Linked DNA regions of Astyanax mexicanus. The protein of the gene in region 1 binds, or shares a complex with, the protein of each later gene. Links are inferred from orthologs where the notes say so. Each region holds a gene or a part of one and is shown in the gene's direction. Other genes may lie near its edges.

Region 1 (8,098 bases):
CCAGCGGCAAGGATCATATTCACGCCTCAGACATGTCCAGCGTGGCCTGCAGTCAGCAGCAGCAGCAAAAAGAGCGCACACTGCGTAAGCCACACCACTGCCAGCACTGTGGCCAGAAGTTCTCTCTGGCTTCTACCCTTCAGATGCACAGATGTCATAAGAGCTCTTCAACATGCCAGGTGTGTAGAGGGAAGCTGCAGAAGGGCACTACATGCTCCTCCTGTCCGGCTAAGGTCTCCAGCCTTCGTAGTTCAAAGCAGCAGCCTTACCATTTTAACCATAGACGTAACAAACATGACGGCAATCCCTATGCCTGCGCCCCGTGTGGAAAAGCCTTCAGCCACAAGCAGGAGCTGCTGTACCACCAGCAGGGTGCAGGGTGTCAGCCAGCCCCTTCTACTGTGACTCACATGTCTACAGATGACACACCCACTCCCTCCTATGCTTCAATTCCACCATCGACTTCAGGGATCAATCACAAGCCAGTAACTTGTCCTTCATGCCATAAAACATTCCGCACTGCCCAGGGTCTAAGTTGCCATCAGCGCATTTATCACCAAAACAGTGTAAAAAAGAACAAAAAGAAGGTGACGCAGCATGTCCAAGGTTCTAAAGGCACGTTATTTGCATGTCGATCATGTGACAAGGTTTTCCCTCAGACCTCTATGCTGTACCGGCACAGGAAAGAGGAGCACCGGCGAAAGACTTCCACAAAGAGACAGCAGAGGAGCCACAGGAAGCGACGGCAAAGCAGGCAAAGAGGCGAGACGTACCCGTGCCTGCACTGTGGCAAAGTGTTCCTGCACCATCTCACCCGCTGGGCACACTTCAAGAGCTACAGCAGCCACTATCAGACCCACCTTTCAAACAGCGCCAAATCAGACAAAACTCAAAAAGCCAGCGAAACCTCCAAAGACCTCAAAACAACCAAAGGATCTAAACTAACCTCCAGAGCCTCAAAGAAGTCTAAACCTGTTGATAAGAAGACAAACAAACATGTGAAAAAGTGCTTTGTTTCAAAAAACAGAAGGCAGGAGATCGCAGACAAGGAAGATGCTCGTACTCAGGATAAGGATGAAGATGAGGATGAAGACGAAGATGAAGACGGAGAGTTCCCTTGCCCATCGTGTGAAGAGGTCTTTACGACCAAGTCTGCCCTGCTACACCATGAAGACATCCACCAGTCCACACACACCCCAAACCACTGCAGCGTGTGTACTGGTGGGATTGCTTTACCTCAGATTGCAGGGTCTTCTGTGAATAGAGTCTATCACTGTGTGCCATGTAAGGAGGCATATGTGGACCTGGATACTTTTCTGCAGCACTGCCAAACACACTTTTATTGCAGCAATGATGATGAGAAAGATGATGATGCCCAACTTAGTGATTGAAAAGGCACAAAGTAACATCTAGTCAGAATTAAGGCCCTTTCACACAGAGTACATATTTTTGGATACACATGGAGCTCACATATGCAAATGTGCAAACAGGGCTCATACTCCACAGCTCTTTCTAGCTCTTTCAGATAAATGTCTACTCTTTCTGTTTCACTCACAAGTTCTCATTAGCAAGGGAAGCTGTTGTTCTTTAATGAGGGAAGCTATAGCTCATTAACTAGGGAAGCTGTAGTTTATTACCAAGCATTAGCATCACATATTTCCATTATCTTCTGCCTTTTCATAATTAGCACATTGATCAGAGTATAAAATCAACAGACCTTATATCTGATAGGTCTGCCTGATTTTAACACATCTGACAATGCAGAAATTCCACAACTGTCATATATGTAAACCTTTCTTCTGTTTCTCTGCTCTCTGTCCACTTCTGCTCTCTTCTTCTCCACATAAGTAATCATTATTAAGGGAACATCTAACTCATTAGTGTGGGAAGCTATAGTATAGTAGTGAGGCTAGCTATGCTTCGTTAGTCCAAACATATTGGACTCAGTGTGAAAGGGCTTTTACACCCAGAATACTTGAGTTGTCTTGTTTTTTCCTTTGACATTAAGTTTCGAACAGTTTGTGTTATGTTAAGAGATTGCCAAACAACATTTCTAAATGATGAATGATGAATGTATGCTTTTTTGCTGTGATTTACCAAAGCCACTCATGTTCACTGAATACACAGGCTGAATGTAAAAACTGTACACTGTCGAATAACATGAACGATTTCTTTCTGCTGTTGATAGTTGTTGAATTTGATTAACATAGTTCTGTTGGTGTGGTACTACTAAATTTGAGGATTTTATTGTAGGAGCAATGACTGTATAAAAGCATGGACAGGGCAACATTTGTGAAATATGAAGTCATCATAGGTCTAACACCTCCAGAGATATGGTGCAGCGTAGATCCATCCATCCCTGTACGTTTCAATGACAGAAACAGCCGCGCCAAGGTCTTCCATTAAATTTTCCTCCTCTAAAGACTTTTAGTAGCTGTAGTATCTTCGCTTTGTCTCAGTAGTCAACAGAATGAAACTGAGCTAAGCTCTGGTGCTGTAATGGAAATTGTTTGGTAATAAAATACAAAAGCTTCCCGTTTACCACTGGAATACTACACTTACTGTTTAAACTGGGGTTCTACAAAACCCTTTTTGCTTTTTGTTCTTTAGTCTGTGCTGTGATCTCAATGAAGGCAGTCTGAGATACTTGAGTAGGCGAGTTTGGTCCCACCCCTTGACTCTGGTTGCAAGTTTGACACAATGGAGGATGCTCTTGTCATTATTTATGTAGAATGGAAGGGAATAGCACCACAGTGTCTGTTTTTCTACAGTCATTGTGTAGGACTGCATTTTTTTTTTATCCTTTTCGATTGACAACTTTTTCGTGGTTGATTATATGCTTTTTTATAGCTTTTGTTAGCGATGATCTGTATTTCTGTTTAATAGTTATATCCTGTACATATATAGAACACACGCAAACCTGAAATGTCTTTCACATTGCCGATTTTACCTCTGTGCCTTACCATGCACATCTTAAGTAGTGCCTTGTTTCAGCATGTTCAAGTGCTGTTACAGTGTAGGGCGTTTTCACGCCAAGGTTGGTGTGTTTCTTACATTGTATTCTGTCCATTTAGTTATGTTAGTTGTCTTTCCCGGAGTTGTGCTAAATGCTGCCCCCACTATAAATTGACTTTCTTTCGAGTGCAGGCATGCCATATAGGAGAATGGTTGTAAGAGATTCCCCTCATATTCCATTTATTTCTGTTTATAAAAAAGGGTTAATCTACAGTTATGATACAGGCATCACCAGCATAATCTGTTGTACCCATACTGCGGCATGACATGTCTGGACAAGAAGTCAGATTTTGGCACAACACTTCTTCAATACTTCTTCTTCTGTTGTTTATTGGGTGACGATAGTTTGACTCAACTACCTGTAATTGGTCTGAATGAACTGGACCATGGGTCAGTTGAGCCAGACTAAGTCCACTGCTATTATTTGGGCCAAGTTTAGGTCCTGTGTTCTGGACAGTGGTTTACAGCATCTTTGCAGCAACCTTATGCAGTTAAATTATTGTGGAAAGCATTATATTCCTAAACTCTTCATTTATCATGTTTTCATATCATCGTGAACCCTGAAATTATGGGCAAAAAGAAACTGAATACCTCTTTATATTTACTGCTGTGTCTCATGATGTGATTTTTTTTTTTGGGGTGGATTTGTCCACAGGGATTACGTTACATAAGTATTGTTTGGTTTTGGCTTTTTTTTTTCATTCATTTTTGTTATGGCTGGAGCCAAAAATGTAACATTAATGTACCAAATGTTTGGTTTTCTGTGTATTCTTTTTCCTCATGATAATATAAAACTACAAAAATATATTTCTGAGTAGACCAATAAGTTTCTCTCTCTTTTTTCAGCTTGATTATCCTGGCTGTATTTAACATTACATCTTTAATATAATTTTGTACTTTAGTGTACATAAATACTTTTGTACATTTAGTGTATTTAAAATAGGAATGGAAATTCGGAGTTTACGTCACAATGACCAGGTTTGGGTGGTGATAGACCAAAATACTCTAATCCATTTTTTTTTACATCATTTAACATTACTTTTAAAATTCTGCACAAAAACACTGATTCTTTTTACATAAGGGTGGGACTTTATTCATAAACAGGCGCCATGGTTAGCGTTACAATAAATCCTATTCATATAGTGGTCAGTGGCCTGTCTCCTCATTAATAAGGTCTCTGGTTTTATCGCATAAACCAACTGGAAAAAGGAAGCTCTTTAAGTGTGAGTGGCTATATCTGTTACATTTTGTGCTGATTTTTATTTTATTTTGTTTTACTACAGCTTAAATGATTGACATTTAATATTATTTTTTAAATTTAGTGTTAATACATGCATTATTATTAGCATTGCTATTTCTCATTATCAATATTATTAGATTTTGTGCAAGACCTTTTATAATATTGCAGTAACTTGAAAACAGCATTTTCTATGGTCGGTTTCAGCAAAGGTGCTGTAATTTTTTATTTATTTTTTTGTCACAGTATCTGGTAAGTACAGCTATTTAACAAGTGTGACAGTACATTTGTATTTTGAAAGGTTTGCAAGGAAGACTTTTTGAAGGCTTCAGTAAATTATAAAAGTAGCTGTAGACAGGGGTGTTCCTGTTCTTGAGATGTTTCCAGGGCCTCCCACCCTCATGGCTACAGCATGATTAGATACTTTTTCCCATTGGCAACATGATAACGTCAGATTTCATTGACTTTGTTTAGTCCTTCCAGTATAGATTGTTTGTGTGTTCAGTGTCTGACCATTTTTTTTCAGTAACAAGTAATCTTAAATCATTACAATTTCCAGTCCACTGTTTTATTTTTTTTCTTTCCTTTTTTAAAAAGATATTATAGCATCTGGCTGGATGTGGTGAAAGGATAAATGAGAAAGACGTTTACAGTCAATGCTTTATTGCTGAAACAGTCAGCTGCAACCACACCAAAATAACAACAGGCTAGCGAGCTAACTAGCTAACAGGCTAAAAATAGCACTCGGGCTGAACACACACACACCCTGCGCCCTCTCCACCTCACACACACAGCGAGCCTTCTTTTCTATCCACCCCACACACACACACAGCGAGCCGCCCCCCCCCCCCCCCTTATGCTCTCCCCAATCACACGCTTGTCTTATACCTTAAACACAACAGTTTATTTTTAACAGTCAGTAAATTTTACTACCTATGCAACAGTCTGACCTAAAAGCTTCACACGTCTTAAATTAAAGCTCCACGCACTTAAAATTAAAGCTTTGCGTGGCTACAATTAAACCAGCCTTAGTTTTAGCTGCACAGAGGTTAATTTTTAGCTGTGTAAAGCTATTCATTTCCTGGTTTTACCCCAAAAGTATTTTAATACAGTTTCTAAAGTCCTGGGTTTTCTGCTTCTGTGGGTGAGGCAGTGTGTGGTAATAGCGGCGCCGCTGCAGCAGGGGGCGGTACAGGCCGCAGCCGAAGTCCGGGAGAAGCGTCACCTCCGCTGTGAGGCGCGTGTTTCAGTGTTTTAGCGCAGTTCCGACGCTCATCTCTCCGCCGTTGCTGCTTCTGCTGCTTCTGAACATCCCGCGCTGATTAAACATGAGTAAAGCTCATCCTCCAGAGCTGAAGAAGTGAGTACTAACAGGCGGAATTAGCGCTAGCTGGGATATATCATATATATTTATTTTCAGCATTGGGTTTCTGTAGCTGTGTATTGTAATTAGCGGTCATTTAGCCTGAAGCTAATAGATAAGCTAACCAACCCCGGTAGCAGAGGCTGAGTGTAAACCCCAGTAAAACCATTTGAACTAAAAGATCGGACAATAGAAACACCGCAGCTCTTTACATCCTACTCTAATTAATCTCATACAGTTTAATTAAAGCTTAGATTCGGACCCAATAAACCTAATTAGCTTCAACATACAGCAGAGAACATTGAATTAACGTTTGAATGGATGGAGCTGTTCTACACTCCCAGACACACTACAACCTGTATGAATAGAACACAAACAAATATACAGTACCAGTCAAAAGTTTACAAACATCTCTTCTCATTCAATGGGATTTTTCTTGTTTTTATAATTTTTACATTTTACATTTACTATTGAAGACATTAAAGCTATACAGGAACACACGCAGAATGATTCTGTAAACAAAAAATGTGTTAAATAAAACAGAATATGTGTGCTACTTTAGATTCTTCTAAGTATCACATTTATCTTTGAGGACAGATCTGCATACTCTTTGTATTTTAATCTCAGTGTTTTCATAAGGGAGGAGAATCACCTGGAATAGTTTTTTCAGCGCCTTGAAGCACTTCCTAGAGGTGCTAAACAATAGTTGCTGCTTTTACTGTTTACTATGTGATCCTATATGTGTCCCTTGATTGTTTTCATGGCTTTAGTATTAATCTACAATGTAGAAGATAATCAAAATAAAGATAAACATTGGGAATGATTGTGTCCAAACATTTGACTGGTATTGTACCCATGTATTTAATGTTAATAAATTTCAATACAAACATTAAGTATAACACTATCATTGAATCAACGTAAAACTGAAAAATCAGTTCTGATATCGGTCAGTATTGTTTGAGGGCATCAGAGGTTAAAAATGTTGATTCAGCATAAATGCGCTGTCTGTTATTAAACTCTTTGTTTTCCTTTTTGTAGGTTTATGGACAAGAAGCTGTCATGTGAGTGTCATTTAAGTCACGTTTTTCATTGTTAGGCTGAATCTGAAATTATATATATATATATATATATATATATATATACTTAAATAGATAAAATCCCATTTCTTCTCCACTACACCAAATGTGGAAAAAAATAAATAAATAAAAGTTTTTACACTTTTACGTTTTCAGTTTTTGAATTTAGCCTCAAGCCAGCAGTGTGGGTACAACAGATTACATAAAATAAAGGAATCTGAATGTAATCCTGGAAAAGCAACTTGTAGAACTGACCACAGTCTACAAAACTATCTGTGTAAAGTATAGGGGATAACAGCCCATGTTTGTGATTGTTGTGAATGTTCTTATTATCAAAGACAAAGTTCTTTAGTGTGTTCAGTCACTAAACTGCGTTGTGAAACTAATCAAGACTAACTGGACTAAATGTGCACAGTGTAACAGACAAACCTTGGTGAGGACTCTGAAATGATTGGAACAGTCCATATATTTAAGTTCTTTCACATTTGTCTGCAACTGGTCAGAAAATTAAACTGAAAAACCTTACCCTGACCCACAACAATTGCATTTACCATCCTCAGTAACAAGATTTATTCGTAGGTCAGTCTGGATGCACATATTTTAAACTGTAAAGAGTAACACTATCGTTGCTTATACCACATTCTTTCTATGCATGACCTGAAATCTCCACTTAACCTGCCCCTGTGCCCAAGTTACCATTGTGATGTTTCTAGGTAGAAAATAATCTAATGTTAGGAGACATAATATAGGTTGCATCCAACTAACTTTGATGTGTTTTGTTATTAAGCATATTACATTAATTATTACATTGCTTGTCTAAAGCAGATTTTTATATTGGAAGGATAGTGTTGCCCATACTGCACTGATGTTTTGTATCTTCTGTACACATGATCTATTTACACTATTTTTTAGAATGTTGTATTACTTTTATACATTTTTATAAATATTTCCCTCTTTTCTCTCTTTTCTTGTTTAGTAAAGCTTAATGGTGGTCGGCATGTCCAAGGTATCCTCAGAGGATTTGACCCCTTTATGAATCTGGTGGTGGATGACTGCTTAGAAATGTCCCCAGGGGGACAACAGAACACCATTGGCATGGTGGTAAGTAATCTCTGTCTCGAACACTCTATCTGCTTCTGTTTGCACAACTTGTAAAATCAGGATATCTGTAAATACTTAGTCTTAAAAGGCCTTAAATTTGTTTATCCAAAAAAACAAATCCTTAAATAATTTTCCCAAACGGGTTAAGACGCACTAAATACAATGTTTGTTTTATTTCTCCATTTCACAATTTCCAGATGTGATATTGCAAGTTCACATTTTATTTAAAGCTGTCTAATATGCACTTAGTAGAAATGAATTATTGCTTAGTGATTGGTTCTCTGTACATTTAAAGATATTAAAGTG
Region 2 (7,164 bases), on another chromosome or scaffold:
CGCTAATGAAATGCATTCTTTCATTTCCTCTAAATTGCATTAATGAGAGAGGAAAGCCATTCAGATGAAAAATGTCCCTGAAAATGGCTCCTTTTTGATACTCATTCCTCTTGGAACTGTTTCCTCTATCTCTCTGTCTCACACAGTGAAGGCTCCTATGCTTGTCATTAGTGTAATAGGCATCACGTTTATTTTTGCCGGTGTTTTATTAAGTTTAATAAATGGCTTTTCTTATGAGAGGAATCTTAACAACATGTTGTGCATGTAAACATCCCTCTTCACTAGAAGAATGAAAGCAGGATTGGCGAAAGACAGGCAGACTCATCTCATCAGGATGGAAATCAGATTTGCCCTCAGACATTACGCCCCCAAAGACAAGACAACACTTGATGAGCTGTAACTGCTGTGCCTAATAGATAAACCCAGTGGGCCCATCAGGCTGAGGCCTGTTTCAGACAACCCTGCAGATGGAGGTTCGGTTTAGTGTTGAGGCAGTAAAACACACCAGATAAAACAGATATAATGATGTATTGTTCTGATTATACACTATATGTCAATCCTCTATTGCATGATATTTTTCTTTGTTGGTAGGTTTTGTTGATCTCTCTTGATATATCAATCAGAGCATTTAGGAACCGCTGATTTAGTGTAACGGCCTTGGTTGTGGTTGAGCAGCGTATTGTTGCCCTGAGGCAGCAAATAAAAAAACACTGTTTTTAATGAGTAAATGAAAACAAATTAGCCATAAATATGAAAAAGAATGATTAAAAAACTGAACGAACAGTGTAATAATCCAAAAAATTATAATCCAAAAAATAATCCAAACATCCAAAAAACATGCCATAGAGGGATAATATAAAATATTGCAACCCTAGCTCATGCATTGTTTCTCCTGAAATCAGGCGTATTAAAACAGTTTATCCTGCTTTTGTTGGACTAACTGTCTCTGCTGTCCAGGAAAGTATTTCTACTAGATTTGTATGTAGCACTGCTGTGAGGTTTTGGTTGCATTAAGCAACTCATTGCAAAAGTATTGGATTAATCCAGAGATTCCCAAACACAATTCCACTGCTCAATAGCTCAATGCTGGTAGCTTTATAATCCTACACTATTTAAACTAAAGTACTTCAACTGAATGCATTTATTAGAAGAGGTGTCCACAAACACACTGAGGTCATGCCAAAGTTCATGAGACAGGAATGAATATTCTGTCCCATTATTATTTTGAAAGCTAAAGAATGCTGCACTGGCCTGTGAGAAATGTGTGTGGGGTCTACTGCACTGAATGTGGATGTGATTTCTTCCACTTTTCTCTTCACATGGACACTGACAAGGTAACACCTCGCAACTATTACAATTATGGAAGGTCCCAAGCTGTCCACTGAAGTAGCACTACTTATCAATGTATATACTGCTATCCCATGACTCATGTCACAGTATTTGGCCATATACTGTATATTTAATGAGGTTAAAATAAGTCCCCCAGCATATACACATCTAAAGCTTTCATCTGTTAGAGAGCAGATGAAATCAAAAACAACAACAGTTGTTTGTGTCTGTACTTCATCTGTGAGAAGATGAAAGGATGGAGGTGGAGGTGAACAAGCTGTATGTGAGAAAATTAAAAAGAAAAAAATATATAAAGAAAAAGAACATTTGATTAAATCAAACTGTTAAAGCTGTTCTCAGAACAATGCGTCCAGACCTCAGTGACCTGAATGTGAGAAGCTGAGCTGCAGAAAATGCTCCATTTAAAACATTTAAAACTAAACATACAGTGTAAGGTGGGTCTAAAAAGTAAAAACTGTAATGAAGGTAAGGATGGACTTTTTATAGTAAAACATCTAATATTATGTTTTCATTTTGAGGCTTTTGTGTATTTCCATTAAACGTATGTGATAAATATTTTCTGCTTGTTAATAAAGCAGCAAAAACATCTCCTTGATGTCAGTCTTGACTGAAACTGAATTAAATATAGAGAAGTCTCCAGCTTTGACTATTTCAGCATTTTTAGGTTTAAAGGTACTCCTGCAGAGACTGATAAAATACAGGGCCAATCTGATTCAGACAATAAAGTCTGAGGTAAACAAATGTGGCCGGAATTCATCCATGGCAAAGAGCCACGGTTTGCTTTGTGCCAGCAGCTAAACAAAGTAAAAACCCAGTGAGCACATTTATAACCTCACTCTTCAGCCTGAAGTGCAGAGAAAACAAAACGATAAAAGGATATAGTGCAGTGTACGCTGTGTTACACACACTGTTTTCACTATATTTGTTTAAATGTAGGTAAAAAATACTAACATTCAGCCCATTTTGCCTCCTTAGTTACCCCTAGAATATATACATTATTAAATAATATAATATTATTAACTCCTCTCAGTCTGTTCTCTGCTATTTTCATAATAACTCTGAAGTTGCTTTACTTACTTGATATGTATCAAACATGATGTCACAAACTCTCATTTTAAACAAAAACACAAGAACTATAAGTGTCTATAACATGTGCTCCATTGTTGTTGCAAAATCTGTTACAAATAACAAGAGCTTACTGAACCACATTGCAGCTCAATGTACTTTTCACAATAAAGGAAATCTTGTAGATTGTGTAGATATGAATAAAAATGCAGTTAATAATATAATATAATATAATATAATATAATATAATATAATATAATATAATACTGTATATAGCAATATGTAAGCTCTCTATCTTACATATCCTGTAGTAATAGTGCATATACAGCACCATTCAAAAGTGTGCACAAACCTTTTCTCATTTAATGTGTTTTCTTCCTTTTTTATGATATTTTTACATTCATTTTAAATTTAATATTGAATACTATATTAAAGCTTTACAGGAGCACATGCAGAATTATTTAGTAAAAAGAAGTTTAACAAACCAGAATATGTTTTATACTTTAGATTATTTTAAGTGCCACACTCTTGGTATTTAAATTTCAGTGTCTTTATGAGGTGCTGAAAAATAATTGCTGCTTTATTTTTTTTCTTTCACACGTTTTTTACCCATCTCAGCTGATCAGGTTTAGGTCAGGGGATTGTGGAGAACAAACACTTTTTTTGTTTACTACATAAATTCATATGTGTTCCTTAATTGTTTTAATGTCTTTAACATTAATCTACATTGTAGAAGATAAATAAATAAATAAATGCATCCTGTATTTTGTTTTATATTGTTTACTTTTTATGTATAAAAAAATATTACATGTATACAGTACAAAAGTAAAGTTGGGTTTATGTCAGGGGATTTTATGCCACTTTTTTTTGTTTACTACCTAATTCCATATGTGTCTCTTGATTGTTTTTATGTCTTTAATATTAATCTACATTGTAGAAAATGAATAAACAAAAAAAATAAATAAATAAAAACATTGAATAAGAAGGCGTGTCCTGACTTTTGACTGTATTCTGTATTTTATGTTTTATATTGTGTACGTTTCATGTAAGCTACAACAAATATTACAGTTATTAAGTACAAAACTAAACATAACAAGTCAAGTCAAGTCAAGTAGTTTTATTGTCAATACTGCATATGTACAGGACATACAGAGAATTGAAATTACGTTACTCTCCTTCCCAATTTTACAGCAAGTACAGATAATAGATAAAATAAAAGAAAGAATGGGAGACACTATGTGTACAATACAGCAGGGACACAAATAGACATACATGAGACAAAAACAAGGTGCAGTGGTGTGGGGGAGGAATAGATATATAAATATAAGTAAATAAGTAAAAATAGATATATAATTATAATATAAAAGAGTGGGAGACACTATATGTTCAATACAGCAAGACACAATAAACATACGTAAGACAATAGTGCAATATTGATGGTGATCGAGATGGAATGACAGTAAAAATGGTAAATAACAGTAGTGCAAATACTAAATAATACATGTAATTGTTCATCTTTTTTTGCCTATTTACATTTTGTAAGCAGTGAGTTTAGCTGTAATATGTACAGTAGCTTAATATGTGTTGAATATTTAATCTGTTTGTAGAAACTATAATATAGCGGATTGTTTATGCAGTGGGAGGAGACACGGGGAGAGCGGCGGAACTGTCGGAGGGTGATCTGTGTTGCACCTCGGCGCGTTTTAAGAGTTACTGGTTCCTCCCCGCACTGCTTCATTTCGTAGCTTTCGCTTCATCTCTAAACAGCTCTGAAACTTTAGAGATAAAGGCGAAACATCTACTTTTAACGGAAGAACTGTGAGATAAGACAACACAGCGGTTATTTCTGCAACCAGGTATGATTTTAATCTCCTGTTTTAAATGTTATGTCGTTAAATAGACCGTGTTTAGCCGCTGAGCTAATGCTAAGCTGAGATAATGGAGAGCTCGGCGCTGCCGCAGTGTATATTGTGAGTCAGAGTTTCTTAGGATATTTAGCTATTAGGAGTTTAGGTATAAAATATAGATTTATTACTCTGCTGCTGCTGCTGAGCGGATTTATTGCGACCGCATCCAGAGTTTAACTGACCAAAAGAAGAATAAGGGCATCTGGGCAATGGACTTCATTTGCTTTCTTATTTTGGTTATTATTCATACGTTAAAGTTAATGTTTTTTTGTTTTTTTTTTAAGAATATTTACAAAGTTATTGTGAATTTATTTAGGCCAAAACTTACTCTACGAAAGCTGTAAAATATTAATTACTATTCTTATTATAAAGTAATACGCTGTGATCTCTCTGTAATTTTACAATCATTTACTAACACCTATTTTTGCTGTTAACTTGCTGTAAAGACTGGCAAGAAACGCATATACAGCCTCTATTGTAGGGGTGGGCGATATGGCCCTAAAATAATATCACGATATTTCATGGTATTTTCGCGATAACGATGCTCTTGGCGATATGACGAAATACTGAATAAAAATTCATGATTCAAATGATGTCAAGAACTACTACACTAGTGCACGAAAATGAATATTATTTATTTTATTGCATGTGATATGATATGGCACACCATTAACTGAGATTTTAAAAAATACCAAAAATTACTCCAGAATCCAAAATTAATCCAGAATGTCATTGTACTAATAATGTGTTCTACATATCTCCATATGTCCAGGATTAAAGTAAAATAAATGATACTGGACAGATATAATCTGTCTCTAGTAGATATAAAATGGAAATGAGAACAGTGTGATTTTTTTTCTTTTGCTAAAAACAGCATAAAAGTTGTACCTTGATGTGATAATTGGGGGTGGGTGATATGGCACGATATTTCAGGGTATAATATCGCTCACAATATCGAAAAATTGTGGCGGTATTATTGCGTACGATACGATATGGCACACCCCTACTCTATTGAATTGGAGTAACCAAAATAAACAAAGCCTAAAGGTAATTTTATTCAGTGTAACGTTTAACAGTTCAGTTTTGAGTCTGACCGTTTGAGTCTAAATTTGTAAGTAGAAAATTGGAGGTAAAACTTTTTTATAGCCCTGTCAGGATACGATTTTCTTTGTGAACCATATGTGGTCCCAAAAATGTTTGTGATAAACAATTTTATCATTTTAAGACCATTATACATATATACACTGTCATACATGTGTACAAACAATAATGTTTTTTGTAATGTTTATTGTATTGATAAGTTGATAATTTAATTTATCGTGATAGGCAAATGTTACAATCCAACTGAATTTTGTTACAAATTGAAAAAAAGAGGGAAATTTAACTACATGTAACTTCATAAACACAACCATTCACTACTCAACTCAAGTTCTTGAACAAATACTTTGCTCTTGCAAAGATTGACAATTAGGTCCTTAAACTTGATATACAGGGGAAACTGAGAGTTTAAATAATAATGATAGGATGTATAAAATATAAATACCAAACCATATATAATAGATCATATAAACCAAGATAATATAAAATAAATAAGATATGAAATAAAGCAAATTAAAGATAAACAATGTATGTTTAAGTCTTTGCATTTATAAATTAAGAAAAATTACCCAGCATTAAACATCTTGTGACCCCCTCAAGCAGCAATTACTTCAACCCAACGTTTCTAGTAATTGGTGATAAATCCTGCAGAAGGGGTTGGAGGCATGTTTACTCTTTGCTGGTTTAACATTGCGAAAGGTGCTGTATGATGATTCATTACCAGGTTTGATTGGTATCTGTGATTGGCCTACTGCTATTGTTCTCGAGAACACTTGTTCTCAGTCCAACTCTAATGGCAGTCTGCTCTTGTCCTTTAAGAGGAAAAGCAGTACCCAACCATTAAGCTGCTACTCCCGTTCTTTAGTGATGGCATTGGGTTCTTTTGTTGGACTACATTGTTCAGTTTTCCCCAAGCAAAACACTTCGTTCATTTCATCCAAAAGGTTCTATTTAGGATTCTACACAACACTATAGAACACAAAGAAAACACATATAATATGTATGGTCATTTTAATAATGGACTGTAATGGTCTGCAGCACAGGGCGTCTGTGAGCTGATGTTCCGGAACCGAGAAGCTGCGCTGTCCTCCGAGCGCGCTGGCTGCTCGGCAATGCTGCATCAGCAGCAGCTCGAAAAGAAGCAGACTCATGGTGTATTCATTACTAATGATAGGGGGAGTCCTAATGAGTGGGTTGGGTAATTGGCCGTGTAAATTCGGAAGAAAATGAGGGGGAAAAAAAACCAATACTAAATGTATCCATGTTGTGTTTTAACAAAGCTGAAATTGCTTTAAAACAATACTGTTTGTTTTTTTGTACTGCAAACTGACTTCTCAAGTAAAAGCTAAATGCATTTAACTTTTAACATGTTTCAACATTACACACTTATATGTTTTGTTCATAGAATCATAGAAAAGTCTCCTTCATAGTGTGTTTAAATTTACAGTCACAAAATGATGTGCTACATGTGGATCAGTTTGGTAAAGACTGGAAAAAAGATAGTGGATGGTTAAATTTAGGACGTTTGTGCACTTAAGTGATGCTTAAGGGAGTTATTGTCATATTTCTTATCTCGGGAGGTGTTTGGCACCTGGCCCTGTGAAGGTTATGAAGTGTGCTGGACCAGCAGCCGCTTCAGGGGCGCTTTTTGTCTGGCTGCCCATTTTCCAGGTCATTTCTTCCATTTTGCTGCCTTGGAGTTATTAGTCTTTTTCAGTTTCAATTTTGTCATCCACCCAACGAA

What was found.
Region 2: snrpg (region 1) and sf3b5 share a complex: the UniProt entries of both Homo sapiens proteins name them as parts of the minor spliceosome. The link is inferred for Astyanax mexicanus from reciprocal best matches to the Homo sapiens genes SNRPG and SF3B5.

Annotation. Positions count from the first base shown.
Region 1 is NC_064420.1:6,264,290-6,272,387, forward strand, and holds the start of snrpg (small nuclear ribonucleoprotein G), read left to right. Parts: upstream 1-5,025; 5' UTR 5,026-5,580; coding exon 5,581-5,612; intron 5,613-6,653; coding exon 6,654-6,676; intron 6,677-7,667; coding exon 7,668-7,792; intron 7,793-8,098. Other genes in the region: si:ch211-148l7.4 (oocyte zinc finger protein XlCOF6), read left to right, coding at 1-1,391. UniProt on the Homo sapiens protein: Plays a role in pre-mRNA splicing as a core component of the spliceosomal U1, U2, U4 and U5 small nuclear ribonucleoproteins (snRNPs), the building blocks of the spliceosome.
Region 2 is NC_064414.1:43,717,263-43,724,426, forward strand, and holds the start of sf3b5 (splicing factor 3B subunit 5), read left to right. Parts: upstream 1-4,068; 5' UTR 4,069-4,271; intron 4,272-7,164. UniProt on the Homo sapiens protein: Component of the 17S U2 SnRNP complex of the spliceosome, a large ribonucleoprotein complex that removes introns from transcribed pre-mRNAs.